Linked DNA regions of Drosophila melanogaster. The protein of the gene in region 1 purifies or fractionates together with the protein of each later gene. This does not show direct contact. Each region holds a gene or a part of one and is shown in the gene's direction. Other genes may lie near its edges.

Region 1 (16,712 bases):
ATTACTTAGGTTAAAGTGCAACCTTGTCGCATTGTCAATGTCAACTTGTAGGTTAACTATTATTTCATCAATTTTCGCTCTCTCTTGATGACTTTTAACACAACAACTATGATAGATATTTAAATACCTCGTCTATATAGAGACACCCATAGGAGCCATTCGAATAATAAAGAAATAATTTGGAAAACAATACGCGTTCGGCACGCGCTGCCTCGACGCCGTTCGAATCACTGAGAATTGAATTCGATCCGATTTGAATTTAACCCGATGAGATAGTTCTCGAGAGAAGAGAAAAAACCGAGCGGGAGGCCTCTAAAAATAAAATTATTCGCTGTGGGAGAACATGGAAATGCTCAAGCAACCTGTTGAGCGAGTGTTGTTCTAGGTCTGGGAATCATTGTTGCTATTTCATTAACTGTCACGTTGTGTAAGGTGCATGACATCAGCTTAAAGAAAAAAAAAATAATATATATACAAATGCATGCACTTCAAAGGCTGGCGACAGTTAATTACCCTAGTTAAGGCATCTAATTCGTATCTAAAGGTTAGGTTCAAGTGTATAAATAATAAATGGTTTCTTTTCTGCTTAAGGTGCAGAATTTTGTATTAGGTTTTTGTATGGGGCATCTTCTTAAAGTGTTTCTGACTTGGTTAACAATGATTTAAGATTGCGAGGGAACAATTTTGCAATCGCCCCTTATCTACCCACAAATACAAGTCTCAAGTACATGCCTATAAACAATATGTAATGGATGTTTTGTGCAAACTCATGCTTTCCGGCAAATGTTTTTATCTGTATAGTAGTCTTCGCCATAATCAGTGTTTTTTAAGAAAGAGATGCAAAAAAGAAATACGAAAAGAGTGAATAAGTTACTTTTTCTTTAATTTTTTTTATATATTTTTTTTTAAGATTCTTAACAACAACGTTTGTGTTTCATCATATCAACTGAAATTTCGCATATCCATTAATGGTATTGTAGATCCCAATTAATTATTTTTAAGCTTGTTTGCCACCGCTTTCCGCTGACTACCGTAACCAATCGCAACATTTAAAATCTTGCGAAATAGAAACTTAATAGTGACTATGAGTAGAAGACTGACCAGGAGAACTACTCCATAGACATCGAGATTGTTTCGAGCCACAAATTTTGTGTGAATGAGGGGACTCTGCAGGTGAAGGGCTCCTTGATGACGCAATACGTACTCGGTCCAGTAGATGACCGATTGACGGGCTGTTAACGGACGATCCCTGTAAAGGGTGGAGAACTTTCCAATCGTCTCACGATACGCGGGATTCCCAAGGACCTCACGGATAGTCTGCTCCAGTTCATGCTCCGTCATTGTGAGAATATCCAACCATCGGCCAAAGCCAGATTTTGTCATGATTTCAGCATTTCCCTGTTGATCGCCAAAGATCGGTAGCGCGACCATGGGAACTCCATGATATTGAGCCTCTGCCACACCGCCCTTGCCCGCATGGGTTATGAATAGTTTCGTATTCGGATGGGCCAAGATATCGTCCTGGGGCAGCCAATTGCCGAAGAATATGTTGGAGGCATTTCCTGGCTTGTTTTTCAGGTCCTCCCACTTCCAAATAACTCTCTGTGGCAACTTGGATAGCACTTTGTACAGGATATCAACGGTATCGGGTCGAAAGGTATTCGTATTCACATTAGTTCCTAGACTGAAAAATATCGCGCCCTCATCAGCCTTATCAAGAAACTTGGCCAACTCCTTGGGCAGAGGATCGGCCTGCTCCTTTACTTGTATTCCGCCAATTTCAATCGATTGAGGTACTGTCGGTCTGATGGGTCCTTCGCTGGCGGAATGGTAATTATAGAACAACAAGGAAACTCGTCGCTTCATCTCATGATAGTTTGGAAACTCCAATTCATTAGCAAAAGCTCGCCTGTAAAGAATTCATAAATCAATTGCTGTTTCTAGCTCTGTTTTTTGTTGTATACTTACTCGTAAAACTGGTTCATCTTATAGTCCAATACTGTCTCAAAAACGCACATGATGGCATATTTAAAAAAGTTCACAAATCTTAGGCCAAAGTCCATGGTCTTTTGACCCGCATTAAGGGCTACATTTACGGTCGGGACATACGATGGATCGTTGACATTACCCACAATGGTGTCCATGAAGGGCAGCGGAATGCCCACCCACGATATAATGACCGGACATTTCAACTTGGCAGCAATGCCCAACTGATAGGTGTTGGCCATCAATCCCAAAAACACCAAATCGAATTTGATCTTTGGATTCTCGTAGATCTCTTTGACATTGGGATGCGTCATAAACTCATATTGTCCTTCCAGTTGATTGGAAGATTGGACGATCGCCTTGACCATGGTCTCCCAGAACGAAGGTTTCTCATTAGATACCTCAGCCATATATTCTTTGATATATCTCTGTCTCTCCTCCGTCGGCGGTGCAATGATCACGGTAATATTTTCATGTGTCGCCAATTTCGGTTTCATCTGGGTCACCACTGTAATGTTGTGACCTCGATCAGCAAGGGCTTTCATCACAGCCATATGCACGATCACGTGCGAAGGACTGTGTGTTCCGAAAACTCCCAATATATTGGCTCCACCACTGCTTTGGGTCATCGTGCTCAGAAGGAATGCAATCAAAAATCCGATTTTAGTATATTCAATCATTTTGAATTAACCTTTCAATTGAACTGAGTGTAAACGACTAAGATAATATATTTCTAGCGTTCTAGCTTATATAGCAAACGCAATATCAATAGGGAACATATTAAAATACCTTTCGCTGTGCGGTAGTGACTTGGCATATAGGGGAAGTCTGCCTAGAGTTTGTTCAAACACACTGGTCAATTGCTATAAGATTATCGCTATCGCAAAGGTTTTTTTTGTCAAACAGCGTATCTGCAGCCCGGAGTCACGATTAAATGGTAAAAAGAATTAAGCATAAATTTATTGTCTAATCAGTAAACAAAATTGCTAAATACATTATGAATATGAAGACTTTATGTAATAGTTTTGCATAGTTTAATGACATTTGATTTTTTAATATTTTTGGACTACTGAACCTTATCTTGAGCTCCTGCTGAGCCTTCAATCTTAAAGCAATCACGCACCCACTTTTTGCCAATTTTTAAATTAATTTTCAAATTTCTCATCCGCCCTCCGACTCGTCGATTAACGTTATAAATAAATCAAAAACAAAACATATTTCATTTTTAATTGTTCATATAAATATTTTAATATTTCAGTTTTTTTCTGATTTCTTAAATATATGAGCTAAACTATTAATGGCTTTTCAAAGTTGTCCCAAACAACAAGTAACTAGGCCAATAAGTAATCTTTTGGCGCTATCGATAACTCAATGCATGCGTCATACAGTAGCATGAGAAATTTCGTAATCAGGAATGCGAGTTATGAAATACAATTTGGTAATATTTATTTCTTAATTTAACTTAATTTATTGTTTCTTTTTGGTCTGAGAAATCTTCGCCTTTCCCCCAAATTTGTTCCATACGATTTTCGCAACCAGTCGGGTAAGGAGCACAAATAAGACCAGAATCGTCACAATTAATGCGTAAATATCAAGATTGTTAAGCTGAATGAAATTCATGTGCACCGACGGACTCTGTAAGTTGGGTGCTCCTTGATGTCTCAGGATGTATTCAGTCCAGAAAACCACCGACTGCTTGGCGGTCATGGGTCGATCTCTGTACAGGGTAGAGAATTGGCCAATAGCTTGTTTGTACTTTTGATTTTCCAGAACCTCTTTCAGGGCATCCCTTAGACTGTCCTCCGTTATGGACAGCAAATCCAGAGCCAGGCCATATCCAGATTTCTCCATCAGTGCCGCGTTTCCGGGCTGATCTCCGAATATCGGCAGTGCCACCATTGGCACTCCGTGGTATTGTGCCTCCGTAATGCCGCCCTTTCCAGCGTGTGTGATAAAGAGTTTGGTATTCGGATGGGCCAGTATATCGTCTTGGGGCAGCCAGTTCTTATAAAGAATATTGGAGGAGTTACCGGGTGTGTTCTCCAAATCCTCCCATTTCCAGATTACGTTCTCCTTCAGTTCGGACAGGACCTTAAAGATGATCTGTACGATTTCTGGCCTTACAGTGGAACTCTTGACATTGGAGCCGAGTGACAGGAAGACAGCACCTTGCTTGGCATTGCTTATGAACTGATCGATATCCTTGGGCAGAGGATCCGGCTTATCCTTTACTTGTATTCCTCCGATTTCGATTAGCGCTGGCACCAGGGGTCGAATAGGTCCTTCACTGATTAAGTGGGAGCCGACAAAGGCCATGGAGATATTCTTCCTCAACTCCTTCAGTGTGGGCATATCTTGTTCCGGAAAGACGTCATTATAAATGCGTGTCAATTTGTAATCAAACACAACAAAAATGAATTCGAAGAGCAGGGATTTGAGAGCGTTTTCAGTTCGTTTGAGGAAGCCCATTGGTTGCGTGGCCACAGTTCCCATGAGGGGCACATAGGATAACTCCGAGGGATTACCCGTATACTTATCGATTGCCGGAACAGGTGCCGACATCCAATTAATAATTACCGGCACCTTTAGCTTATGGGCGACACCCAGTTGAAAGTCGTTGATGAAGTAACCCAAAATCATCAAATCAAATTTGGTCTCGTAAATGCGCTGAAACCGAGGGTCGGATAGGAGTTCCGCCTGGGCATTGATCATAACATCCATGCTGGTTAGAAGGCGATACATAGTGCTGACCAGTGAGTTCTTTTGCCCGGCCATTTCGGTCATTTGGTCTTCCATGATGCGTTCTTGCTCCTCCTTCATAGGCACCACAATCAGGTGGATGTCCTTGTGCGTCACCTTGGGCTTCAGCATGGACACCACGGTCACATTGTGTCCAGCTTTGACCAGTGCCTTGGCCACCGACATGTGGATTATCAGATGCGACGGACTGTGACTGCTGAAGAGCCCCAAAATGTTAGCTCCCTGGGTGGAGGCAACCACGCCGAGAAGCAACAAAAACACGAAGTGAACTCCGATCATTTGATTAGTTTTTGGTATGACCTGTCCGGCCACTGTCGAAATAGAAACTAAAGAGAAATGGGCAAGCGGAAACCTATTTATGGGTGAAAAAACTGGTGCCAGTCATTGGATTTGCTTATCAACTCCCCTCGATTCCGAAAAATACCTTGATGAGAGACGGTAACATTTCATTCTCTTGATACTCTTATTTACCTGCTCTTTGATATACAACTCCGCTCTTTTCTAACTTTTTTTCTAACGCGTTTCAAACGTTCAAAATAAAAATTAAATAAATTTTATCAGAGAAATATATAAAGGTTATTAAAAAATAAAATGAAAGTAATAAAAAAATTTATTTAATTTACATAAACGCAACTTTATTGTATTCCTTTTAAAACAGTTTTCTTTAAAGGTCAATCCATATCCTGATTACTCCGTGGCAGCAGTTTTATAATTAATTTAATTATAAAATCTATTTTCGTTTTTCAATTGCTTTGTCAAGATGAGTCAGCAAAAACCCACTATCAAAATATATTTCGTGTAGTTCACCAATTTTCGTAACACCCACCAAACTCTCACCTCTTAAAATATTAATGTAGTTTTAAGTGATCTGCTTAAGCACCTCATAAGCCGAACTATAAAATATAATTGTAATTATGCGTAACAAACGACTTAAAAAAGCGACAATGATTATAGTGCTCTTAACAAACCTTTGCAAACAAAAAGAGAATCGAAGAAAGCTCTTTTGTTAAGAGCACGTTTTGTTTAGACAGGTAAACAAAATGCTTTATAAAAGAAAACCAATGTCTGTTAAGTCACATTGTATTTAATATATACATTTTTGCATAATTTACCCAATATTATTCTTTATTATAACCTTTTTCCAGAATAACCATTACCCTCCCCAATTATCACTACAATTCCAAAACCCACCTACATCAACTTTTTACTACCCGGCGGAATTGGATTCTTCTCTGTTCTTAGCAATTGCTGATTCTGTCCCTTTATGTGACTCCAGTGATTGATCTCCCGCAGTTCCACGTCGAACTCTTTCATGGTTTTCCTTAACTCAGGATACAGATGCTTTAGCACTCCATGATCCAGTGTGGGAAATAGGTGATGCAAAGCATGCTCACCAAAGTGTGTGAGCACCAGAAGATCCGACCACTTGATGTCTCCGCGATCTATAATCGTGTCCACCTGGTAAAGACCCCAATCGAAGTCCTGTCGCTGGGCATCTCCATCGTGTAGAATACGTGGATCATGGTGGGCAGCAGTGAGACCAACAAGTCCGAAGATAAAGCTCCCAACCGATATAATTATTTCCCAGCTTAAAAGTGCACTCAACAGGCTAACACCAGTGGATAAATATATAAAAATGGGCAGACTGAAGCCAATGAGATCATCCCAGCACAGAACGTTTCTTTTGGTCAGGGAAAGGACCAGGCTAAAATATAATGCAACCTATTAGTACAATACAGAGAAAACTATTTTGGCCACTCACCGTATGAGAAACTGCCCTTGGAACAAGACCACATATACCACGGGGCTGATAACCACTGAGATCAATCGTTGAGGTTTACTGGCATAATGACTATCCGGAATCCAGCATAGGAACGGCTCAAACATGGACATCTCCAGGTCGTGCAGAGAATTAGCATAAACATGGTGTGATAGGGCGTGAGAAATTCGCCAGTTTCGGAAGTTCATCATGGTCAGATTGAAAGTGTACATCCGCCAACTGTCCCGTTGATGAAAATAATTGTGGGTTGAGGTTGCCACCCAGCAAAGTGCCAATCCAGCTAGACCCTTGAAGATCAATGAGTCCAGAACGGTGCCTGCCCAACTGAAGAGGAAGACGGACACCAAGATGCCAAGATGGAGAAACTGCAAGATTATATTGTAGAACAATAAGTATATCATAGGGAACAAGCATATTACGTTCGACGGAACTTTAGTAACTTGTCAAGATCGCAACAATACCTCGGTTTTCTTAGTGGGAGAGTAATCGATCTTTCTCAGCTTTTCACGCACTCTCCGCTTCAGTGTCATATAGAAACCATTCTCTTCAAGAGTGAACTTGTAGTTCCTTGGCCTTGCAGCCTTTCGCACCTCGAATTTGCTTAGCATTCCTCGAGCTCGCTCCTCGATATGATGTGACTCGAAGGGCTCGGTGATATCCGTTCCCCTGGTGCACTCAATCCAAGATGAACCACCCGGATGGCGAGCGGCAAAGTCGCTTAAGTCGTAGAGCGTATCGTTAATTCGCCAAAGACCTTCGGCCTCGTCATCTACATTTTTCCCCTCCAGCCAGCTGAGCAAGAGAAAATGTAAATATGTAGTTTTATTTAATTAATTTGAAATTTATGGGTATATTCGATGCAAACCTTTCACTGGTAATCGGTCGATGCTGGCGATAGCTCGGGTAATTTCTGGATATTCCGGATACTCTCCAGTCACCATCGTCCTTAACATTGGGCGTCATTTTGTGCACTGTTTGTTAATCGATGTACACTGATAAATGGAGTTTATTTTAACCCCAGAAGTACCTTGAACGCTAGTGCTTAATCGTTGCTGATAACTAGCCGTTTGATTCCCAAGTTCATCTTAGTGCCTAACGAAAGAACCGGTCGTTCTGGACACCCCAGATGCAGACTAACCGCAAAGTTTGTTTACGTAGCGCCAACTGAACTTTTATTGGAGCGGCGCTCGGCTTTTGTTTTCGTATCGCACTCGCTCGATCAATTAGTAAAGCTCTGAGAGTATCGCCGATTGAAAGCTTTCCTCTCAGTGGCTCTCACTTCTTATCAGGAAAAAGTAACAGTATGTAAATGAGATTCAAAGCATACTTACATTGAAGGGCGCCAGCATTGCGATCTAGAGTAGTGTGTGCATTGCATTATTTTCCCATAAGTCAGAACTTTGTTTAAAAGAAAAGTATAAGTATAAATACTTACACTTATATTACTTACTTATACTTATACTTATATCCTTAGCTTCATATTAAGTAAGTTGTACAAGGATTACCTATGCTTACCAAGCAAAAGAAAAGTGAACTCAACGTGTAGCCATGCTAATAAACCCTAGTAAATCGCTGAATTTATTCCTATCAAATTATTTTATTTTATTGGAGCTCTTAGAGATAAGACTACCCCCAACAATCTCAAAAGCTGATTGCTTTCGGCTAGACCCACGCCAGCCAAGCGAAGCCTCAAACTGCCGCGATACCATAACATTGTTATGGCCACCGCACTGACCTATTGTCGCCGAAGTCTGCTCGAACCGCCCATGTGGTGCTTAGACATGCCCACTGCTTGAGATTTCACCAAATGAATTAGCGATTAGAACATACTGCTAAAAATATGTGAGAATTAAATAGACGTAATAGTTAAAAGGCGGCAGCTGCGCTGCTCTCCTGATAACACCGGCGCCTTATCAAAATGGAAACGTTTTGTTTGGAAATCTCGATTTTCGGTTTATATAATCAAAAGAGATTTGCGCTACACATAAAATAAACGGACCACTGCCGGTGCCTTTCAGTTAGTCGTTGGAATCCCAGCGGAAAGGTGCTCGGATCGGTAAAGTTTGTGCCACAGACGTCAAGGATCAAAAGGACTCGGCAATATGGTAATCGAGGAGTGGAAAAAGAGTGGCATTGCCACCAAGTTTCCAACATACCGAAATTCGGCCCTAATCACCACACACAGCTGGCAAAAGGGTAAACGGCAGGACGATGGAGCCGAAGGACTGTGGCGCATCAACGATGGCATCTATGACTTCACCTCGTTCATTGACAAGCATCCTGGCGGTCCCTTCTGGATTCGTGAGACCAAGGGCACCGACATCACCGAAGCCTTTGAGGCACATCATCTGACCACGGCTCCCGAAAAGATGATCGCCAAATACAAGGTGAGGGATGCGGCTGAACCCAGAATCTACACACTGACCTTGGAGGAGGGCGGATTCTACAAGACGCTAAAGGAGCGAGTCCGCGAGCAACTAAAGACCATAGACAAGCGGCCGAAAAAGAAGAGTGATGTGAGTGTTAATCTGCAAAAAAAAATACCTTATTGAAAATGGGCGTGCCTTAGATTTCATTTCATATCAGTTAAGTAATTCTTATCAGTTACTTATTGATAGGAAGTTGAACCTGCCGGCTCATAAATAAATTTATTACTAACTAAAAACATCTAATCTTACATTTCACGTGTCGCAGCCCTAATATTATGCCCCCACTTGTATTCGGCGGCCTGTGTGATTATATTATTTAATTATTTGCACGCTGAAACCCTAATTAATATGATAACTTTAAAATTTATCATTATATTTATAATATATTAATATACATTTCTTTTAGCTCATTCACCTGGGTCTCGTTGTGTCGCTCTACCTGTTGGGCATTGCCAGTGCCAAATACAACAGCCTTTTGGCTTTGGTCTTGGCGAGTGTGGCCCTCTGCTGGACGGTGATCGTGTCCCACAACTACTTTCATCGTCGGGACAACTGGCAGATGTACGCCTTTAATCTGGGCATGATGAACTTTGCCGCCTGGCGTGTGTCCCATGCTCTGTCCCACCACATCTATCCGAATTCGTATTTCGATCTGGAACTCTCGATGTTCGAACCCTTGCTGTGCTGGGTGCCCAATCCGCACATCAAGAGCAAGTTGATGCGTTATGTGTCCTGGGTCACGGAGCCGGTGGCCTATGCCCTCGCCTTCTTCATACAAATGGGCACTCGGTGAGTGTGTGATCGAGGCGGTGATCGTAAACAAAGTCTAATCAGTGATCTTTTGATTGATTGATATTGCAGTATTTTCTATTCGCTGCGCCACACCAACATCCTCTACTGGCACGACCTACTGCCACTGACTATACCCATTGCCATATACCTGGGAACCGGGGGATCTTTAGGCATTTGGATCTGCGTGCGCCAGTGGCTCGCGATGACGTCGATAGCCAGCTTTAGCTTCTGCTTGATTGGTCTGAATGCGGCGCATCACGATCCGGAAATCTATCACGAGGGTGATGCCAATCGTGAGGATCGTGACTGGGGTCTCTTCCAGGTGGACACGATTATCGACCGCGGTGATCTCAAGTGGTCGCAGTTCCTGGTGCTCACCCACTTTGGTGACCATGTGCTCCACCATCTCTTCCCGACCCTGGATCATGGCCTCCTGCCCGCCCTCTATCCGGTGCTTTACCAGACTCTCGATGAGTTCAAGGGTCATCTCCGCGAGTGCAACCACATCGAGCACATGATTGGCCAGCACAAGCAACTATTGCGCATCGAGCCCAATCCCAGGGCTCCTGGGGCGGGAAAGTAGGACTTAATTTGTATGGGGCTTAAGTAAAAGTAAATAAATATATCCACAACATCTTATTAGTTTACAAAAGACCTGTGACAATTTCTTAACACGTATGGCCAGTAAATATGAATGAATATGTCCCAGTCGAATGATTTGATCACGGAAAATAATACACATTTGTTAAATTGATTTACATTTATTTTGTTCCTTTTTTGTATACTTTTCATTTAGTGTCAAGTGATGATCTTATCTCCCTATCATTGTTAGATAGAGTCAGAGTTAAACATAAACATAAGCGCAGTGTGTAGCTCGTGTCGTCCGTAAGTCTTGTCTGGTCTGCATGACAAACAATATTGGGAGTACATATAGAGCAAAATATTCGAACTGCGGGCGACATTTACCGGCGGACACCTCCGCGGGGCCTTCATTTTGACGGGGCTCACGTTTCGCGATTATTCTCATGTTGTTCGGTTGAGAGTCGATGGTTCTTTCATAGTTAGTTGGTTGAATGCATTTCGAAAGTTGTATAAAAATATATAAATACAAATACAAATACAGGTCCAGCGAGCAGTGTCCCCATGGCAAATGTCGCGCTTACACAATAGCCTGTTACTGATCACTTATGTATTATGTATGCTAATCGATGGTGATCGATTGTTGTTATATGATTTTATTTTTTTGCCTAAGTGCATCTGGCGTTGTTGGTGGTTTGCCTCCCGTCGTTTTCGATATTTATTTTGTTATAGTTTTATTATTTTGTTTTTAAATTAAGAAATTAAATTAAAATCATAAACATAATCATTATGAAATATCATTTAAAATAAATTAAAAAATGAAATGGCATTTAGAATTCGTTTTCAGGAGCAAGGTCGAATCTTGGTGGGAAGGCCAATCCGTCGAATTGTGGCCTAACGGACGTCGCACGGGGCTGCGGAAGAGAGATAAATCGGTTGATTAAAATTAGTTCAAGAATAATTAGTATATTTAAACATGCCGGGGATGGGACAAGTCGCCATGTTGGATCGACTGCACGGGATAGAACGATAACGAGTACGACTAGCACTCCCTGAACACGTTTTGTAGTGCCAGCGAGTGGCGCGGTGAAAGAACGGTAACTGAGGTACGTAAATGCTCTTCGAGCGAGAGATAGAGTGTCTTGCTTGTGTCGAATGAGAGTGGAGCGAGAACGCTTGACGAGTACGACAGCGAGACGATACGGATACTATGAGCAACGACAACGAACGAGTGAGCGAGACAACTAGATGAGCTGCGGTTGATTGACTGACTGGTGTGCGTGTGCGGGAGTGGGAGGGATGAGTTCCGACACAACAAGAACGGGTCAAGACGTGCACGAACACGTCCACTTACAAATGTTTCAAGAAAGTTTCTACTGCTCCAGCAGCGCGCTCTTGCGGCCCTTTGACGCTGTCGGCTGCAGTACACATGTACAAATACAGTTTATAATAATATAGTGGAAGAATAGTATTGTTTTTTCTCTTTTTTGTAAATAGTGGTAAAGAAAGCATTTCGATTGATTTAGCCTGGTGCTGCGTTGGTTGCTTGCTTTTTTATTTGCAATATTTTTTTGGCTTTTTGTCTGGTTTTCTGTCAAAATGAACGCATTCTTGGTTGGTATTCGATGAATTGATCCATTGATTTTTGATTGGGGTGGCCTCTAATTTATACATTTTTGTCTGCTAGCGAATGTCATGTGATGCATCTATATTATTGTTATTAGTATTTATTTTATAATAATTCTTATAAGCTATAATTCTCTTTGCATGGTTTTTGTTCTCTCATTATCGTAAATGAACCATAATTGGATCGCTATATAGATTTTTTATTCGATGGTGATGCCTCAGGCTTAGATCTGTTTTCGTAAGTGGAAGCAGAGCATACGCGAGCAATATGAAAGGGAAGAATATACACATTATTCAATAACTGATCCAGAAATAACGTGAATGGAGATGGCGCTGATGCAGCAAAATGAAGGCTCAGAAGTGTTCGATTGAGAGAAGTTCAAATGGGCTTTCATATTTACTTTTTTCTCTGAGTGGGTAAGGTCATTGTGGGGTCTTAAGGGCTAAAGGGTAGTGATGATGAAGGCATTTGATGCCATTGTTCAATAACTTACCGCTGGGCTGGCACCACGACCGACAGAACCGGCACGTCCCTTGGCGCGGAATTTGCTGATGGCCTGCTCGGCCAGATCGGCGCGCTCCTCGGCCTCCTCAAGCTCCTGCTGAGCCTTGCGGAATTTGGCCAAGTTGAGGGCGGCGATTTCCTCAGCCTCCTCGATCTGCCTCTTGTATGTCTTGATCTTCTGTTGCAGCTTGTCGACCAGATCCTGCATGCGCTCGTGGTTCTTGCGGTCCTCCTCGGACTGGAAGCTCAGCTCCTTGACGCGACGCTCGGACTTGCGCAGGTTCTTCTGGGCATCGGCGTGCCTCCTCTGCTCACCATCCAGCTCGTTCTCGAGCTCGCGGACGCGCTGCTCAAGCTTCTGAATGGCCTTCTTGCCTCCCTTGAGGGCGTTGGCCTCAGCCTCGTCCAGACGGACCTGCAGCTCCTTGATCTGCTGCTCGAGGGCCTTCCTCAATTTCTCCTGGGTCTGGGCATGATCCTGCTCAGCGCGGAGCTCATCGGCCAGGCGGGCGGCATCGACCATAGCCTTCTTGGCCTTCTCCTCGGAGTTCTTGGCTTCGTTCAGGAGTTCGTCCAGGTCGGAGTGCAGGGTCTGCAGCTCGGACTCCAGCTTCCTCTTGGCAGCGGAGATGGAGGCGTTCTGGGCGGACACTTCGTTCAGCTGCTCGTGGGCATCGGCCAGCTCCTGTTCGGCCTGGCGACGGCCACGGTCGGCCTGTTCCAGCAGAGTGCGAGACTCCTCCAGTTCGTTCTGGAGGGCGTTTGCACGACGCTCGGAGATACCCAGCTGTTCGCGGGCATCGTCGCGGGCGCGCTGCTCCTCCTCGAGGGCAGTCTGGATGTCCTTCAGCTGCTGCTGGTAACGCTTGATGTTCTTCTGGGCCTCGGCGTTAGCCTAAAGGAAAGGATAAGAATTAGGGTTAGTCGTTTCGGTGTGCCTAGGCATCAGTGGTTGAACCTACCTTGTTGGCGTGATCCAGAGCAATCTCAAGCTCGTTGATGTCAGCCTCCAGCTTCTTCTTCATGCGCAGGGCCTCAGCCTTGCCCTTGGCCTCGGCTTCGAGGGAAGCCTGCATGGAGTCGAGGGCACGCTGGTGGTTCTTGCGGGTGTTCTCGAACTCCTCCTCCTTCTCCTGGATGCGGCGGTCGATCTCCTGGCGCACCTGGGACAGCTCAAGCTGAGCGCGGAGCACCTTGTTCTCCTCCTGCTCAAGAGCGGCCTCAGCCTCCTCGAGGGCAGCCTGGAGCTCGTCCTTCTCGGCTTCCAGGCGCTTGCGGGCCTTCTCGATCTCATGGATGTTGCGGCCACCCTCACCGATCTGGTCGAGCAGATCCTTGACCTCATCGGCCAGGTTCTTGTTCTCACGACGCACAGCCTCCAACTGCTCCTGGCCCTCCTCGTAGGCGCCCTTAAGACGGAACAGCTCGGTGGAGTAGTTGCGGCACTCCTTCTGGGAGGCATCCAGCTCAGCAGCCAGATCGTCGACCTTGAGCTTCCACTCGCCGATGATCTTGTCGAAGGCCTTCTGCTTCTTCTCGGCAGCGTTGGCAATGGCGTTGGCACGGTCGACCTCCAGCTGCAGATCCTCCACCTCGGTGGACAGACGCTGCTTGGTCTTCTCCAGGCCAATGCACTTCTGGTTGAGGGACTCGATGGTCTCCTCGGCCTCGGCCAAACGGGCCTGCAGCTTCCTCTTGGCTTCCTCCAGCTCCTCAGAGCGGGCAACGCCATCGGACTCGTACTTGCTGCGCCACACCTGGGCCTCAGCGTTGGCCTTGCTCAGCTGGCGCTGCAGATCGGCCTTGCCCTCAGCCTCCTCCTCAACCTGCTCGCGCAGATTGTCCAGGTCGTGCTCCAAGTTGCGGAACTTGCCCAAAAGGGTGGCACGCTCGCGCGACTCCTCGTCGGCCAGACGCTTGGTGTCCTCCAACTGGGTGGTCAGAGAGATCTTGATCTTGGACAGCTGAGACACCTGGGACTCGGCCTCCTCCAGCTGGCGGAGCAGATCGGAGTTCTCAATGGACAGCTTCTTCTTGCTGGCATCGAAGTCGTTCAGAGTCCTGTTGGTCTCGTCCAGTTTCGACTGCACCTCGTTGAGGGTGTGCTGCAGCTGCTTGGCGATCTTCTCCTGGGCAGCCTATTAGTGATTTAAGCAATGGATGTTCATTAGTTTCACGATGGGGATTGGGAACATTCATAATTGATTGTAAGTGTGGCATTTTGGTTTCGTGTCAAGTGGCTGTACAAGGCATTTGGGGTTTAGTAGATCAAGCTTGGATATTACTTTAGTGGTGGTGGGTCGTTTTAGTTTTTACATAATCAAATTTTCTTTTGGAGTTTCGGTGTGGTTGCGTTGCAACTACGTTGATACTATACACAGATGTAGTAGACGTGGCTAAACTAGAACTTTCAGCATATAAATTTACAGCATCGCGATGAGAGCAATAATATGTGTAGAGATCAAATTCAATACCTTCTCGTTGGTAATGTGGTCGACACCGGCGCGCAGATCGTTCAACTGGCCGTAGTACTCGTTCTTCTCCTTCTCAGCCCTGGTTTAGACAGATAGATAGAGACACAGAGGTTCGTATTTCACGGGTTAGTTCATGTTTTGTGGGGGATAAAGACAGAGACAGAGACAAATACAGAGGCGAGAAGCGAGAGAATTGCTTTCCTTGCGTTGAACCTTTTTTCCAAATAACCTTCAATTTCATTAGACAGAGAGAGAGAGAGATAGAGGGACACACAGACGTAGTTCGTTTGTACGTAGTTGTGTGGTAGCATTTTTTTTTTATTTGTTGGTTGGAACATGCTGTGTTCAGTGTATGGATCTGTATATGTATGAATCGCTGGACGTCCCTGCTCGGGCGCCAGTTATCACGACATATTACCTTATCGCGACCCAGCTGATCGCAGGCGGTACGAGTCTGATTCAGCTCGTTGTGGCAAGTCTGGCGATCGTGTTCAGCCCTGGATTAGCAAATGGGTAAAAAAGAGCAAAATATCTATTATGTTGGGTTCGGCAACCAAAGCTCTTCGAAAGAAGACTGTAAACTGTAGATCCTTCAAGATCTCTCTATCTCGATAGCGTTGGCACCTGAAAAAGCTAGCCAGAAGTCTAATAATATTCGCAATACTTACTTAGCCTTCAGCTTGTTGAGCTGATCAACCTGCTCGGCCATCTCGGCGACGGCATCGTTGTGCTTCTTGCGCAGGTTAGCCAGGGTGGACTCGTGCTGGATGTTGGCCTCCTCAAGATCGCGACGCAGTTTGCTCAACTCAGCCTCACGCTTCTTGTTGAGCTCAATCTGGGCAGAGGTGGCACCGCCAGCCTCCTCCAGACGCTCGCCCAATTCCTCGAGTTCGCGGGCCAGATCGGCGCGCTGCTTCTCAGCCTTGGCGCGGGCCTGGCGCTCAGCCTCGACCTCTTCCTCGAGCTCCTCGATGCGGGCCTGCAGTTCCTTGATCTGGCGCTGGTGCTTCAGAACAACGACCTGCTCGTCCTCGAGCTTGGCGGTGATGGAGGACAGCTCCTTGTCCTTGCGCTGGATGGTCTGCTCGAGCTCCTTCTTGTTGCGCTCCAGATCGGCAACAGCCTCCTGGGTGAGCTTGAGGTCGCCCTCAACCTTGCGCTTGGACTTCTCAACATCGCCGCGCACCTTCTTCTCGCGCTCCAGCGAATCCTCCAGTTCATCGAGGGTCTGCTCGAGCTTGGCCTTAACCTTGTTCAAGTGGTTGATCTTGTCCTCGGCGGCCTGGAGCTCCTCACCGGTCTTCTGGTTGGTCTCTCCCTGCATCTTCTTCTCCTTGTTCAACTTGTTGATGAGCTCATCCTGGTGGGCGATCTCGTCGTTCAAGTTGCGGATCTGGTGATCCTTGGTGGCCTTGTCCTGCTCGGCCTTCTGGACGTTCAATTCCAGATCCTCGATGTCCTTCTTCAGGCCAGAGATCTCCTGATCGGCCTTCTTCTTCTGCTGGAACAGCTGGTTGCGGGCATCCTCCTCCTGAGTCAGGCGCTCTTGGATATCCTATTGGAATTGAACAAAATTGTGTGGGCGTGTTAAGTGGCTGAGTAAGTTGGCGATGGGTCACTCCTAAATTTAGCCAAGTGCGCCAGAGCCCAGAAATAGCCGAGCAACTTTCATGCTCGATTGCCTCTGATCAATTTCGCGTTTTCCGCTTTCGTGGCACTTGGATTTATGCCATCGCATAAATGGGATTTAGTGTATGGGATTAATGGGATACTTACGCGCA
Region 2 (14,920 bases), on another chromosome or scaffold:
GGGACCACCTGCTGACGGCTTGGAGTCCTTGGGAGGCTGCTGCTTATCCTTATCATCACCTGCTTTCTTGTCATCCGTTGGCTTGCCCATCGTGCCGGGCTTGCCATCGGCTCCGGATTTTTCATCCACATTCTTAACCGATGCTCTTAGAGCAGCTGCAGCCAACATAGAAGCTCCTCCTCCAGTTCCACCACTAGTTATGGACTTTTTAGACTGCAAGTGAGATTATATATTAGCCAGGGAATACATATACATATATTGATTGGAACGTACCCCAGAGGCATCCAGTGGCTTCTTTTCGCCTTCGCCATTTGGAGCACCCTCGTCATCGGCCAAGGAAACCTCGTCGGCAGCCATCTTCTTCCGCATGAACTTGACATAAGCCACTCTTGTGGCACGCGTCACATCACCCAAGTTGGGATTGAATTCTGGAGGAGATCAAGGGTATGGAAATATACATACATTGGGCACATCTTTATTAATTTACCAATCAACTGGGTCTGGTTCATCTGAAGACCCTCATTCGCCTGCTCGATGATCTTCCTCCTCAAGCTTCGCTGGCTATGACGTTGCATGGAGGAGCGCTTGGAGCCAATGGGATCGGAGGCGAAAGTATTCTTCCTCGCAATGGCGTTCCAATCCTTGTCTCTGTTGAGAATAATAACCATTATTCAAAGCGTCTTACAGATTTAAGTGGACCTACCCCTTCTGGGTCTTCTTTCTGCCGATGACCTTGGCCAGCGATGAGAATATATCTCGTCCGCTCTCAGATTCGCTCATTTCCTGCTTCAGATTCTCGACGAAGCCGATTTGGAAGTCCTTAAGGATGCGACGTTCCATCACCTTGCCCTTGGTGGTTCGAGCAACTCCTTCAAAAGTAAGTTTAGTGAATAAAATCCATTAAAATCCATTCTAGCTTTGTAGTCTTCTAGCACAACATATTTCAAATTAATATTCAAGATGGGGTGAACTTTATTAGGTATTCAAAAGCTAATTGTAAATAATTATTCATATATACTGCTACTTCTATCTTAAGACACGTGTAAGTTGCCAATTTGGATGTGGGTAGGCTTCCCTTACCCTGCGACTTCTTCTCAATGTCGGGTACATCCCAGTTATTGTTGGTGAAAATCTCCAGCAACTCGAACCGCAAGGAGCTGATGTCCTGGCGCACCTCAATGATATCATCCTCGGTAATGCCGTAATCGTCCCGCCGCCTCTGCTCCGCCGTAATGTACCTCCTGACCAGCAGCTTCATCACTTTGTCATGCAGCGTCTGTGCCCGTTCCATGGACTTTCGCTGGGAGTTGGAACAGGGAGCATTAGAGGGTGGAAGGACACAGAAAGGATGTATTAGACGTCAATTTGACGCACAGATAGCTCTGCATGGGCTTGATTGAAAATGATTTCGCTTAAGATTTGTATTGATTGTGAGCCGCCTCTCACTGTGAGGTGATTCAACTTGAAAAAATCGAACTTTCGAAATGTTACTTACATTTAAAAGTAATATGATAAGAAATATCATTTAAAAGTAGAGTACACTGAATTTAATATATATGTGTGGATTTGTATAATACTTAAACTGAAATATTGAATTTCTCTGAGTGTAACTTACCATGAAGCTCTTGGTTCGTGACGGTCGCTTTCGGCCCAGGGTCTTCCTCAACATCTTCATGTTGGGACAGAGGTTGAAGGGCGGTGGAATGGTGCCGCCATCCTCGAAGTAGCTCATCCACAGCTGGGATCGGGCGAACTTCCACTCAGTGTCGGCTCGCTCCGAGATGATTTGGTAGGAGTTGGACATCATGGCAATCAGCATGTTGAGAAGCACAATGATGTTGATAACCGAATAGGAGCCGAACATTAGCAGTGCCCAGAAGCGGGTGAAGCTCTTGATTCCCGCCAGATCGAAGGAGACCAGGTCCACCAGGCCAAAAGAGGCCCAAAAGAGCGATTGTGATGTTTCGAATAAGCTAAAGTAAATTGAAATGGGATGCCAATATGATAAAGTACATAGAAATGAATGTAATATACTTGGAAAATCTTCGCCAGATGGTACAAGCCTTCTCCTGGTCATCAAAGTCAGCCACATCGGGATGCAGGTGATAGCACTTGTTCTTCTCCAGCTCAGCGTAGTACCATAGCAACTGGTTGAGACCACATCCGAAGGCAAACAACACCAGTGTGTAGATGAAGAAGAACTTGATGATGTCGATTATCATGCGACCCAGTGAAACTTGCAAGGGTCCCAGGTGGGGATTAATGGAGAAGATGTGGACGAGCTTTAGATAGGAGAAGACCATTCCGGCAGCAAAGGCGCCCTCTGATAGAAGCATTGGATCAAACGGATGCCAGTGTTCCCTTGGGAAGTAAGGATCTATGCCCCGGAACCAGAGATCACGCTGAAATCAATTCGTTTCAGTAACTCCAATTTATTCATTAGATTCATATGGACTCACATGGACGATTACCCAAGCGGTGGCCCTACAAAGAATCCACGTCACATAGAACATGTTCGATATGTAGTCCACTATGTTCCAAAGATCCATGATGTACTCAAACAAGCCGTCCGAATATAAAGATTTCAGTTCCTCAAATATTAGAGCCATTATGTAGGTAATGATTGCCAGTTCAATGGGACCCGGTAGTGAACCTCTCTCGTGTTTGCGCCAATCCTCCAGCATGGTCAGCATCCAGGGAAATGCGAGGAGTTCAAAGGTGATTTGCACCACCCTCAGGGAGGCAGCACCCAGGAGCACTGTGAATGGGCGCATATTTAGATGGATGAAGTGTTAAGCACCCACTTTACCCACTCAGGAAGAACATGTAGGAGCAGGAGTGCGTGATGAACTTGACAAAGGGCTTGCGCATGAACTTGGCACCCTCGGAATCCGGGGCCAGGATGTACTTCAAGCTGTAGATGGGGAAGCTGCATCCCAGCTTCACGACATCCATCAGCTGCTGGGAGGCCTGCTTGCGCCGGAAGCCCGGCAGTCCGTCGTACCAAATGGCGGCCAACAATTGTTGGACATTTGGATGTGCCACAAACTAGAAGGGGGAGTAATGTTTATAAATTCAAGCAGGGTACTAAGATCCGTTTCTATATATAAAGCTATTAAATCCCAGTTGGTCTGTGGTGGATTAGGCATGGGTATCTAGCCACAAGCTTGTAACCTTCACAGTTCCTTAATGTGCACGGATTAGTCCGAACCCACCGTTTTTTGCTTATAGCGAATGGCCAGCTTCAGTCGTTCCAGGGTTTGCCGCTGGCCAAGGCACCAGATGTCGTGGGACGGCTCGTGGTTGAAGTTGAGCATCACCTCGAGTTCCATGGATGTGCGTGCGTGATCCAGGAGCGAGGTCCCGAAGTCCTGCACCATCTGACGCATCTCCTGTTGGGCAAACACAAACAAAGGCTCGCATTCGCATTCGCATAGACTCTAGTGGCACACTGGCCACCGCTTACATTGCACACTACTACCGTACCGTGTATTCGGCACGAAACTCCGATTCCATCGCCTGCAGGCGCTTGAGTTCCCAGGACAATTGGAAGGCGGTCAGTACAGGGTCCCGGGAGCTGAGCGCTATCAGCGAGCTGGCGGACAGGGCGCGGTATGCGTTGATCCTCGACTGCGAGTGGCGCAGGGAGTCCGTCATCTGGGAGGTCACACACTCATCGCAGCCGCACCTAGAAACAATTGAGATTAAGCGATGATATACAAAGTGTACGGAACCCAAGAGTTCTATAATAATAAATACATTTAAATCAATCTGAAAGGAGTACAAAGGACCTTCTCTCCTAGCAAGGACATTTATGACGCTGTTAAAGGCTTGAGTCCATTGACCCAATTTAAGAACATTCAAGGACCTGCTCTTCCCACACACAACATTACACCCTGTATTAATATTTCACCCTAATTTGCCCGCAATTATCTAAAATTAGAGGCACCCAGCGATGTGCTACATAAGTGTGTTGCCAATTGGACAAACAATGGAACGTGCCGCTCGAAGGACGAGGAAGCTCACTACATAGCCATATCACCGAGCAACTGCATCCCTACACCACCCCACTCACTTGACGTCGTGCGGCATGGGCAGCGTGGCCCCGCGATCCAGGAGGATTTTGAGTATCTCGTAGTTATTTCGGTGGGCGGCCAGGATAAGGGGCGTGATGTCCACGGTGAAGGTGGACTTGGAGCGGTCCACCGCCTCCCAGCTCTGCCAAAGGAGGGGAAAAGAGTAAGAGTTGTGGCATATTCTGCGGCAGGATGTGACCTACGTATGGCTGGCCCTCCTTGTGGTTGGTCTCCTCCCACTGCAGCAGCTCCTCCACCGCCTCCACATACTCCTCCGAGATGGCGTGCAACAGGGCGTCGCCCACCTCGATGTTATGCTCCAGCAGGATCACCATCAGGTCGAAGTTCTCGTTCTCGATGGCCGAAATGAGGGCGGAGCGGTTCATGGGATCCGTGCAGTTAATGTTGAACTTGTCCGTGCCCTGGTACTCCTCGAGGATCCTTCAAGGACGAAATCATATTAGCCGAGTTACTCGAAGCCATAGGGAGGAAGCCTCACTTCTTGACACCTGGCAAGTCACCCCGCTCGCAGGACAATATGAAATTCTTCTCCACATCGCTGAGGATGTACTCCTCGGCCATCATCAGGTCGTAATCCAGGCGAGACCCCAACGCCTTCTCGGCATCGGATTCCGTATTGCTGCCCATATCTGCACTGATTTACTGGTCTATGCGAACGCGATTATCAGGATCGGATCACTCGGTCACTTCACATCTCACAAACACTATGGGCATTTATCCCTGCTCCTCGGGGAGCCTTGGCGTAATCCTTTCGCGCACTGTATCCTTTAGTGTTCCATCGTGGCGATGTTCCGCCTCCAATTAGCCGCGTTGCACTGCTGAAAAGTGGCAGCCACGGGTCGCTATATTCCACTAATTACATTAGTGCCCAATGTGGCTAAAACTCGGTCAATGTGTGGGCGAACCCCGAGTCAATGGGCCCATTTGACCGCACTTCGGTAATTGTGGGGCTGCATTTGGAGGCAGCAACCGATTTTAGCGATTTCAGTTCAGGAATCTTTCGTCCATTTGTGGTTGCATTGCACGTGATGAGCGACTTTCGATTTTCGAAGCCCCAGCAACGGAATCGCACCACTTTTATGCCTGAAAATCCAAATCAATACTGCCCAGTGGGTTTATATGTAAGTGAAAAACAAAACGTGCTAAATGGAACAATATTATCTGCTTATATTTCGATGAAATGATGCATACAGTTGAGATATGAAATTAAATAGGTGTCTAATATTTTGTACCCAGCAATATAGATCAATGCCCAAAAAAAAAATACGCACTTTGCATACTTTTTGACACCTATTCAAGCCGAAATTCAAAGCTACTTAATATTCAAAAAGTAGCATGAGGGTGTTAATTTGCGAGTAAATAGGGATTCATGGACTTGGGTTCATATCCTAGAACTATTCACCGAGAAAAGCCCTTAAAAATAGGAGAAAATGCAAGCTTTTAAGCTTTTGGCTAACCAACAGAGCCGGAAAACACACCACACCTGCAGTTTACAGTCGAGTATCTACCGAATTGAAATGATTTCGAATGCCTTTTGGGCACTGGGTCAGTGATTCTGACTTTGTGATTGATGAATATTGATTAATCTGCATGGGAAGTGGGAGGGGGAGGTGGGGTGGTGTACATCTAAGACCCAACTCGTCCTTGGCAGCCGAGCGTCTTGAGCCTTGAATGTTGAATGTTGCTTACTTCAGGGCGCTCGCAGGGCTTTTGTGTGTCAATGCACTTGGAACTAAATGCCAGCTCCTGGCTAAAGGCGGAGAAAAGGAAAAGGAACAAGCCCACTTTCACGGAGCAGCCCTTTGAGATGAATGTGTGTGTTCGAAAGGTGGGGTTCAATGGAGCTCCGGGCGGAATGGCATCGTACGTGTTCAAGTCGTACGGGGTTTTTAGCGGGGCCAATGCACTCCACACTCCACTCGCATGGCTTCCAAGAGAAGAGGAAGGAAGTGATGGTGGCCCAAGGAATTTCAAAATTAAAGTCACAGCTGTCGAGGGGAACTCATTAAGTGCGAATTAATTAGAGGCCATAGCTGAAAATACCTGGATGGCATTCTCGTAATTATATAAAGGTACTCCTCATTACACAAATGTGGCTAAATGCACATTCTTCTTATAAGTTCCCATTAACTAAATGCTATGTTGGGTTTATACATGATTTTCTGCAGTGTACAACTGGGTTGCACTCAATGATTCATTGGCCTCCAACAAAACTCCTGCCTTATTTAGCTTTTAAGGACCCTTGTGAGTTATGTGCTCAGTTCTCCACGAGAAAAGCGAAAGAGCTCATTTTCCCTGGGTTTGCGTAGCAGGTTGCACTTTCACTGTCTCCCCACCGGAAACCGTCAAGATTGCGGGATAAAATTCATTTTATGGCCATCTGTATTAAAATTATATCTCTAAGCCCTCAACATGATCGTAAAAATCTATAGTATCAATGCTGATTTGCTTTATGGCACCGATAAGATACTTATGTGTTTAAACAAATTGAATGTACCCACGTAGAAAATGATTTTATGAATTGCATCCGATGAGTAGTATTTAACATTAAATTTATTGTATTTTTAACTGATTCGCAAATCATTGAACACTGATAAGTTTACGTTTTTTATATTGCTGTACAAGCCTCTGCGTTGTTTATTTTTTGTCTTTTTGCTCCTATGTAATCTGGATGACATTAATTTACTGCCCTCCAGCTCAACATATGGGTAGTTTGACACTTGGTCAAGATAAGACAAGGGACTTCTTCTGTATATAAAGGCGCTTCGACATCGGAACACCATTGAGTTGCAAGACTTGACCAAGATGAAACTGTTCGTATTCCTGGCCTTGGCCGTGGCCGCAGCTACTGCTGTGCCCGCTCCCGCCCAGAAGCTGACCCCGACGCCCATCAAGGACATTCAGGGTCGCATCACCAACGGCTACCCAGCCTACGAGGGCAAGGTGCCTTACATCGTGGGTCTGCTCTTCAGCGGCAACGGAAACTGGTGGTGCGGTGGCTCGATCATCGGCAACACCTGGGTCCTGACCGCCGCTCACTGCACCAACGGAGCCAGTGGAGTGACCATCAACTACGGAGCCAGCATCCGCACCCAGCCCCAGTACACCCACTGGGTGGGCAGTGGCGACATCATCCAGCACCACCACTACAACAGCGGCAACCTGCACAACGACATCTCCCTGATCCGTACCCCGCACGTCGACTTCTGGAGCCTGGTCAACAAGGTTGAGCTGCCCAGCTACAACGACCGCTACCAGGACTACGCCGGATGGTGGGCCGTGGCCTCCGGATGGGGCGGCACCTACGATGGCAGCCCACTGCCCGACTGGCTCCAGTCCGTCGATGTCCAGATCATTTCCCAAAGTGATTGCAGCCGCACCTGGTCTCTCCACGACAACATGATCTGCATCAACACTGACGGAGGCAAGTCCACCTGCGGAGGCGACTCTGGTGGCCCCCTGGTTACACACGACGGCAACCGCCTGGTCGGAGTGACTTCCTTCGGATCCGCCGCTGGCTGCCAGTCTGGTGCTCCCGCCGTCTTCAGCCGCGTCACCGGATACCTGGACTGGATCCGCGACAACACCGGCATCTCCTACTAAGCAGTTGATGTTCCTTAATTCTGAGGGGTTTCTTCAATAAACGATTATAGCAAGCAACTCAAGTTCTGTTTTTGGGATGGGATTCAGATGTCTTCTTGCTTAAGTAATGAAATCAATAAAATATTTCCAAGTGAAGGGAAATATATTAAACTGCAAACGGAAATAAACTTATTCCGATTTCCGATTTATGTATCGGAAAAAATCAAGCTTTAGGAACACATAATGACGAACCATCGGACTATATGCAAATATATATATATGGATCATACGTCTTATTATTATGTATTATTATTATGTATTGTTTATAATTATTATGTATATTATGTATATAAAAAGCAAACTGGATTGAAAATGGTGTATGTAGAATATTGGACTTGTTATATTTGCAACATAATTAAAGTGCATAAACATAATATAAATTTATGTTATTATAAATAGCTGCAAGTGGACTTTCCTAGCTTAAACAGTTTTAAATATAGGAATACCCTATAGTCGCTACTAGCGTTCAACAGCTATCATATGGATAGAATATAAAAATAGGATATAAAAATAAGTTAAACAATCTCGTTTTAAAAACATTTAAGGAAAATATGAGATTACTTTTAGTTTTATAATATATGTACATTTAATGTACATAATAGAATATATAAATATTTAGCTCTCAATAATGTGCCCCTCAATCTACAACTGAATAAATAGTTTGGTCGAATTTTTCATTTTTGCTATAATCGTTTATTGAACATCAACTGCTTAGTAGGAGATGCCGGTGTTGTCGCGGATCCAGTCCAGGTATCCGGTGACGCGGCTGAAGACGGCGGGAGCACCAGACTGGCAGCCAGCGGCGGATCCGAAGGAGGTCACTCCGACCAGGCGGTTGCCGTCGTGTGTAACCAGGGGGCCACCAGAGTCGCCTCCGCAGGTGGACTTGCCTCCGTCAGTGTTGATGCAGATCATGTTGTCGTGGAGAGACCAGGTGCGGCTGCAATCACTTTGGGAAATGATCTGGACATCGACGGACTGGAGCCAGTCGGGCAGTGGGCTGCCATCGTAGGTGCCGCCCCATCCGGAGGCCACGGCCCACCATCCGGCGTAGTCCTGGTAGCGGTCGTTGTAGCTGGGCAGCTCAACCTTGTTGACCAGGCTCCAGAAGTCGACGTGCGGGGTACGGATCAGGGAGATGTCGTTGTGCAGGTTGCCGCTGTTGTAGTGGTGGTGCTGGATGATGTCGCCACTGCCCACCCAGTGGGTGTACTGGGGCTGGGTGCGGATGCTGGCTCCGTAGTTGATGGTCACTCCACTGGCTCCGTTGGTGCAGTGGGCGGCGGTCAGGACCCAGGTGTTGCCGATGATCGAGCCACCGCACCACCAGTTTCCGTTGCCGCTGAAGAGCAGACCCACGATGTAGGGCACCTTGCCCTCGTAGGCTGGGTAGCCGTTGGTGATGCGACCCTGAATGTCCTTGATGGGCGTCGGGGTCAGCTTCTGGGCGGGAGCGGGCACAGCAGTAGCTGCGGCCACGGCCAAGGCCAGGAATACGAACAGTTTCATCTTGGTCAAGTCTTGCAACTCAATGGTGTTCCGATGTCGAAGCGCCTTTATATACAGAAGTGGTCCGTAGTCTTATCTCGACCAAGAGCCCTTCCTTCCACACGTATGTAAAATGGGAGGGCAGTAAATTTTAATCAAGTTATCATCGCGAGCCATCGTCGACTGATAAGTCCACTACAGGTGATTTTTTTTTTTTGTAAATTATGGCCTAAATTTGAAGTGGAATGACATGTGCCTTATTTGCAACTTACTCTTCAGTATGATAGTATCATGTAAGGACATTCACTTCACCTAAAATATATTATATACTCAGATTACCCAAATGAGGAGTAAAGTATTTTATGATCTTTAAGAAATTTAAATTCTGAATAATGTTTATTGAAAGTATTTACTACCAATTTCAAAAAAAAGTGTGATAAAATATTACTCATACGGCACATTGTACAGTTTTTGTTCTCAACAAGTTGATTTTTAGATTATCAAAAAATAAAACACTAATAGGTTAATATTACATAGGTAATGTATTAAATGGTATGTATTATGTAATATGTAATGTATTGATTATGTATTATTGGTAATTTTATCTCTAAACATGAATATGCCACTATCTTCCAAGAAATTAATAATACACAAAATATAACAGCATATGTTCTTCATTTATTTAAAACTTGTTTAAGCACCTTTTTGCTTTGAAATTAGTAAAGTTTTTTTTTAATAATAGATTCCAGTCTCCTCCTTTATCCATTCCAGGTACTTGGTGACCCTAGTGAAGCCAGCCGGTCCTCCAACCTGGCATCCGTAAGCGGAGACGAAGGAAGTGATTCCGATAAGCTTATCACCCTCCTTTGTGACCAGAGGACCACCAGAATCACCCTGGCAGGTGGCCTTTCCGTCCGGAGTTTCCACACAGATGGTGTTCTCGGAGGCGGTATCAGTTCCGTAGTAAGCCTGGCACTCCGCCACGGAGATCACTTTCAGATCCACCACTCGCAGATCCTCCACCACATTGCTGCCATCGTAAATGGCACCCCATCCGGCGGCCTGAACCCAATTGTTTTCGTAAGAGTTGTATCGGTCATCCAGGCTGGGAAGCTCTATTTTGTTGACCAGGCTGTAGAAGTCCACATGGGGAGTCTTGATCAGGGCCAAATCATGATCGAGTCCAACGTAGTGGGGATATCTGATGAAGTTCTCGCTGCTCACTGTGTGGCGGAAGGCAGGTTCGTTGTAGTTGACGGCACCATAGTACAGTGAAGCCTCATCAGCACTGCAATACGATGATTTATCAAAGAGCGTTAATTATTTGTGAAATCAAATAACTCACCCAGCGGTACAGTGGGCAGCAGTGAGCACCCAAGTGTGTCCGATTATGGATCCGCCGCACCACCACCAGTTTCCGTTGCTGTTCAAGCTCACACCCACGATGTAGGGAACCTGACCCTCGGACGCCAGGTTTCCGTTGGTAATACGACCCTCAATCCCTCCATGACGAATCTCCAGATCGCGTGGATGGACCAGCGAATGGGGCACAGTTAGGGCACTACAGACCCCAAGGAAGGCGAGCGACAAGAGTGTAAGACCCCTCATATTGAAAGACTAAAAGGCTCCCATGGTGGTCCCAATACTATATAGCTTAGCCATAATCACTATCGATGCTAATTCAAAGTGCGAAATCTTATCTCGCAGCACTTTTATCAACGAAAAAGTTTGATTTATACTAGCAGATACTCAAGACGAGTGTTTGGCAGTATGAATGAAGTGTTAGCAAAGGGAATAAGAGTGTTTTGAGTGCTTCAATCAATTCTGAGTGGATACAAGTTCAAGCAATTTAATTCATTTAATTTTATTAAATCATAAAGAATTATTAACCATGGTTAATAGTAAATGCCAGTCTGCTCCCTGATCCAAAAAGGGCTGCCAATATGGGTACGCAAGCCTTCATTTTGTATACTAAAATCTCCTGTTGGTCTCACACTTTTATATAGACCAATGAAGTCACTATCGATGCACATATAGAAGTGTACAAGCTTATCGTGCAATAAATTATTTTAATTTATGCCACCCAATGGATTAACTTAGTAATAGAGTGCGTTATGGGATTATGTACTTCAAGTTCAGAAAAGCAAAAGTTTATAATCGTACCTCAAAATATATATTCAAATTGTATGCAATGGTTGAGTTTATGCATAAATTCCCAGTAATATATGTCACAGCACAACAAGTGAAAATGTGCAAGCAAGGTGTCATGGGGGGGACTTCAAAGAACCCCAAGGAACAGAAATGGCAATCGAGGGTCATGTGATATCCTTGAAGTATTGCAGGGAATAGTGAAGCAGAAAAGAAAATACGATTATGGCAATCAAAAGGGAGGTCCACTTTCGGAACTACGGAGCAGCAGTATCACTCAAAGTGAGGCGATGGCTTGAAATCCGATATAGTTTCTGAGGAACGCCTCGGGCGGAGTGGGCGAAATGGCGGACCCATTCCTCATTAGGAAGCTACTGGGAATGCCTTTGTTTGCATTCTCCGAGCTTCCCCTTGACCGTCCTTCCGCCGACGTAGTGCCACGCTGAAATGTGCAACATATCGGGGCAGGAAACTCACCACACGGAACGGAAAACGGAGAACGGAGAGCTATTAAAGCCGACCCCCAACGAAGCGTGAGTCAGTTCCCGACTGGGCGTCCGGGCATTCAGACCGCTCGCAAGGATAACGCGCAAGGATCCGAGCGAACGCGACGAGTAAATAAAGCATAAATAATACAATTAAAAGTTGAGCGCGCTCCCTTCGCAAAGGACATTCCCACACTTGTAGCCCACTTCCTTCGGGCAGTGCAACACAAAAGTGCAGTCATTAATTAATTTAATGCATATGTACCCCATCCTGGCAGCACAAGAGTCGAGCCAAGCCGACGATATCCTATAAAGCGAGTGAGTGAAAAGTGTTCGACGAAGCGTTTAAAGGACCGCGCTGTTTGCCGTGTGCGATGCCCATAACAACGGGCTTCGCGATTGCCTTTTAAGGTGGGGCGATTAAGTCACGCTCCTCCGTATCAGCGGCATCGCCAGAACAGGAACTCGGGGCATTGACACTGCGGTTTTAGTGCTCAAACTAAAAATGTGAAAGGAGAACATTAAATCCTGACATGACATACCAAGAGGTGTTATATCATTCCAAGTTCCGCGCTCTTAAATCCTTGAACATATCGAAGTAATTAAGAAACTTACAGCTGTAACTCACAGATACAGTTTCTAATGTTTAATTACAAATTCCATGCTTTAGGCACTAGATACCACCGATAGCACCATGTTCCCACCCAGTTCTGAAGGACACATCCGAGTGTCTCGACGTGACTAGGCCAAGCAGGCCCCACAGATTATAATCCCCAAGGGGACCAGGTCATCAGGATGCACCAGGTACTCAGCTACGAGACGGCGGTGCGGGCCAACAGCTCTCGGGAGTTCCGCGAGTACGTTTCCAAGCGCACCTGTGCCTCCCTGGTGCTAACGATTGGCTTCTTCATGCTGATAACAGGTGAGTGCATTCACAGGACAGCGCCTAATGAGTCACTCTTGTGTGTCGTGGTTTCGCAGGATACTTGCTCGGTAATTTTGTGGCCGAGCGCAAGTACCACATTCGCCAGATGACGAAAGACGGCGGCAGGTCCGTGAAACTGAGCAGCGCCGAGTATGCCAGCCTGCAGGAGCTGCAATCATATCAGAAGGCCAAGGATCAGCTGTTGCTGGCCGCCCAGGAGCTGGACAAGCTGCAGCAGCAGGACGAGAGCGAGCGGTATCTGGCCACGTCGCTGAACACGGAGATCTTCAACAGGTACATATCCTGCACGCAGGATATACCGCCCAACACGAACATTGCGGCCAGTCAGTTCACGGAACAGCTGATCGACAACACGGTGGCCAGGCAGCGCCACTGCTTGATGATCATCCAGCGGGTCATCGACAACCACCTGGCCAACAGCCAGCTCTAGAGCTCTAGGGCGGATGCCAGCGATGGTTTAGCGGGCCAATGTTCGACATTTGACATTTATGTGTGTATGTGCTTTTAGGTGTGCTCAATGTGTGTGCTCCCAGCTAATTAGAAATTAGGTTTTGTAATTCATTGTGAAAGTATTAGATCACACAAGTTTTTTATACATGTCTGCATTAAAAGTTAAACTTTAAATAGATGCTAACTATTTTGGTAATTGGCTAATGTTTAGTTCGATGAGTTATGCTGACGATACATTGGGTTCACGCCCTTAATGGGCAGGAAATGGCCTGCACTGTTGAAGACCCACTGCTCCAGCGAAACCACGTCGTCGTCGGAGAAGAGCAGATACAAATACTTCAGAGTGGAGCCCAAGAAGAAGGACCCCTGCACGTCATCCGGTTCCGAAGTAACGTTGTTAACGTCCATCACTCCAGTATATCCGTAGGGCATTCGGCAGTACTTCTCTATCGCCTGCACCATCTCCAATCCCCACAAGCGGTACTGTGGATGATGGGTTATGCGCCACAGAACCAAGTAAGTTTCCGCGACTTCCGGCCGTAAATTGTAATAGTTCCTCTGGAGCGGCTCTATTTCCTGCTGGCTTTCCTCCGTGAAGGCAAACGTATCCGGACCCAACCGAGTGGGAGAACTCCAGTAGCTGTCGTGACAAGTATCTGTGAGGCCTATGCCAATATGGGCATACTTTTCCCAGTGCTTCATTTGGGTTTCTGCTGCTCCCAGGACAAAAAGCCCGCCGGCAAAGCAATCGGAGTGCCTCATACGATGGAAAAGAGTGCCATTCCTGAACGTGGACACGTAGGTCACGTCCTCGGGATTGATGACAACCAGATTTTGAGCCACAGCTAGCATGGCTTCTTTGAAGGTATCAGCATTTTGAGTATCAGTTCTCCCGGACTGAATCCATGACTTTAGCAGGGTATCATAAAGTCGGTGCATGGAGCAGTTGTAATTTTCCCACTTACCAAATTTTGTGCAATAGGCATTGGGATAAAGGCCATTGGGCCTGGTTGTTTTAGCTAATATCTCGCGGATAGCATCCACTCGCTCCCTGTACACCGGATATCCAGAGACTTCACTGAGATAGTAGAACTCCAGGTGCAGAGAGCCAAATTCAGAAGTGCGAGAGATATCACTTAGGTACTTCGTGAGGGTGCTGCCTTCTTTTGGGACCACTAGTCGTCTGGGTATACCAGTTGGCGTGTCGAAGGCAGGCAGGATCTTATCGGCAATATGGATGGCCTTGTCCATGTAGAGGGAATCCCCGGTGAGGGAATATAGAGTGAGCATGGGACACAGCAGCCTGGATGTCAGTTCATAAACGGACAACGCTTCATCAACCCGGTCCAAATGGAAGGATTTCTCTATCCAATCCCGAGAACGCCTCAACTCTTTGTTCAGACCCATCAAATGCAAAGTGTCCAAGCTCTCGATGATAGTGGCACCAAGCTTGTAGGTTGCGAAGTCGCCACCAAAATGGACACGACGGGAAATCGGACGAAACTCGTTGGTGCCCCAAACAACGCGAGCATAGTTTCGCCAGGCGTGCATCATCATCTCCTTTATCTTCGCCCGCATATCGTCAGGATTCATATCCTTCAATGAATTGTCATTCGATGGTATGTTCTTCTGAAAGGATTCTCTCATCATTGCACGGCACTGAA

What was found.
Region 2: the proteins of Cyt-b5-r (region 1) and CG15522 purify together in Drosophila melanogaster (affinity purification with mass spectrometry, with the first as the bait; one large-scale study listed by BioGRID). This does not show direct contact.

The regions. Positions count from the first base shown.
Region 1 is NT_033779.5:16,782,549-16,799,260, reverse strand, and holds Cyt-b5-r (cytochrome b5-related), read left to right. Parts: upstream 1-8,539; 5' UTR 8,540-8,628; coding exon 8,629-9,042; intron 9,043-9,361; coding exon 9,362-9,744; intron 9,745-9,816; coding exon 9,817-10,330; 3' UTR 10,331-10,487; downstream 10,488-16,712. Other genes in the region: Ugt37E1 (UDP-glycosyltransferase family 37 member E1), read right to left, coding at 988-1,909, 1,969-2,666; Ugt37C2 (UDP-glycosyltransferase family 37 member C2), read right to left, coding at 3,454-5,025; CG17928 (uncharacterized protein), read right to left, coding at 5,938-6,451, 6,509-6,891, 6,988-7,318, 7,392-7,489; Mhc (myosin heavy chain), read right to left, coding at 11,157-11,240, 12,447-13,352, 13,420-14,595, 14,932-15,010, 15,600-16,486, 16,708-16,712. UniProt on the Drosophila melanogaster protein: May play a role in muscle cell metabolism.
Region 2 is NT_033777.3:29,915,340-29,930,259, forward strand, and holds CG15522 (uncharacterized protein), read left to right. Parts: upstream 1-11,915; 5' UTR 11,916-12,178; exon of another isoform or gene 12,179-12,458; intron 12,459-12,530; 5' UTR 12,531-12,655; coding exon 12,656-12,782; intron 12,783-12,841; coding exon 12,842-13,236; 3' UTR 13,237-13,427; downstream 13,428-14,920. Other genes in the region: trp (transient receptor potential), read right to left, coding at 1-213, 274-428, 488-648, 704-869, 1,081-1,300, 1,616-1,973, 2,035-2,402, 2,460-2,758 and 6 more; Jon99Ciii (jonah 99Ciii), read left to right, coding at 6,903-7,700; Jon99Cii (jonah 99Cii), read right to left, coding at 8,451-9,248; Jon99Ci (jonah 99Ci), read right to left, coding at 9,960-10,515, 10,573-10,835; alpha-Man-Ic (alpha-Mannosidase class I c), read right to left, coding at 13,464-14,920.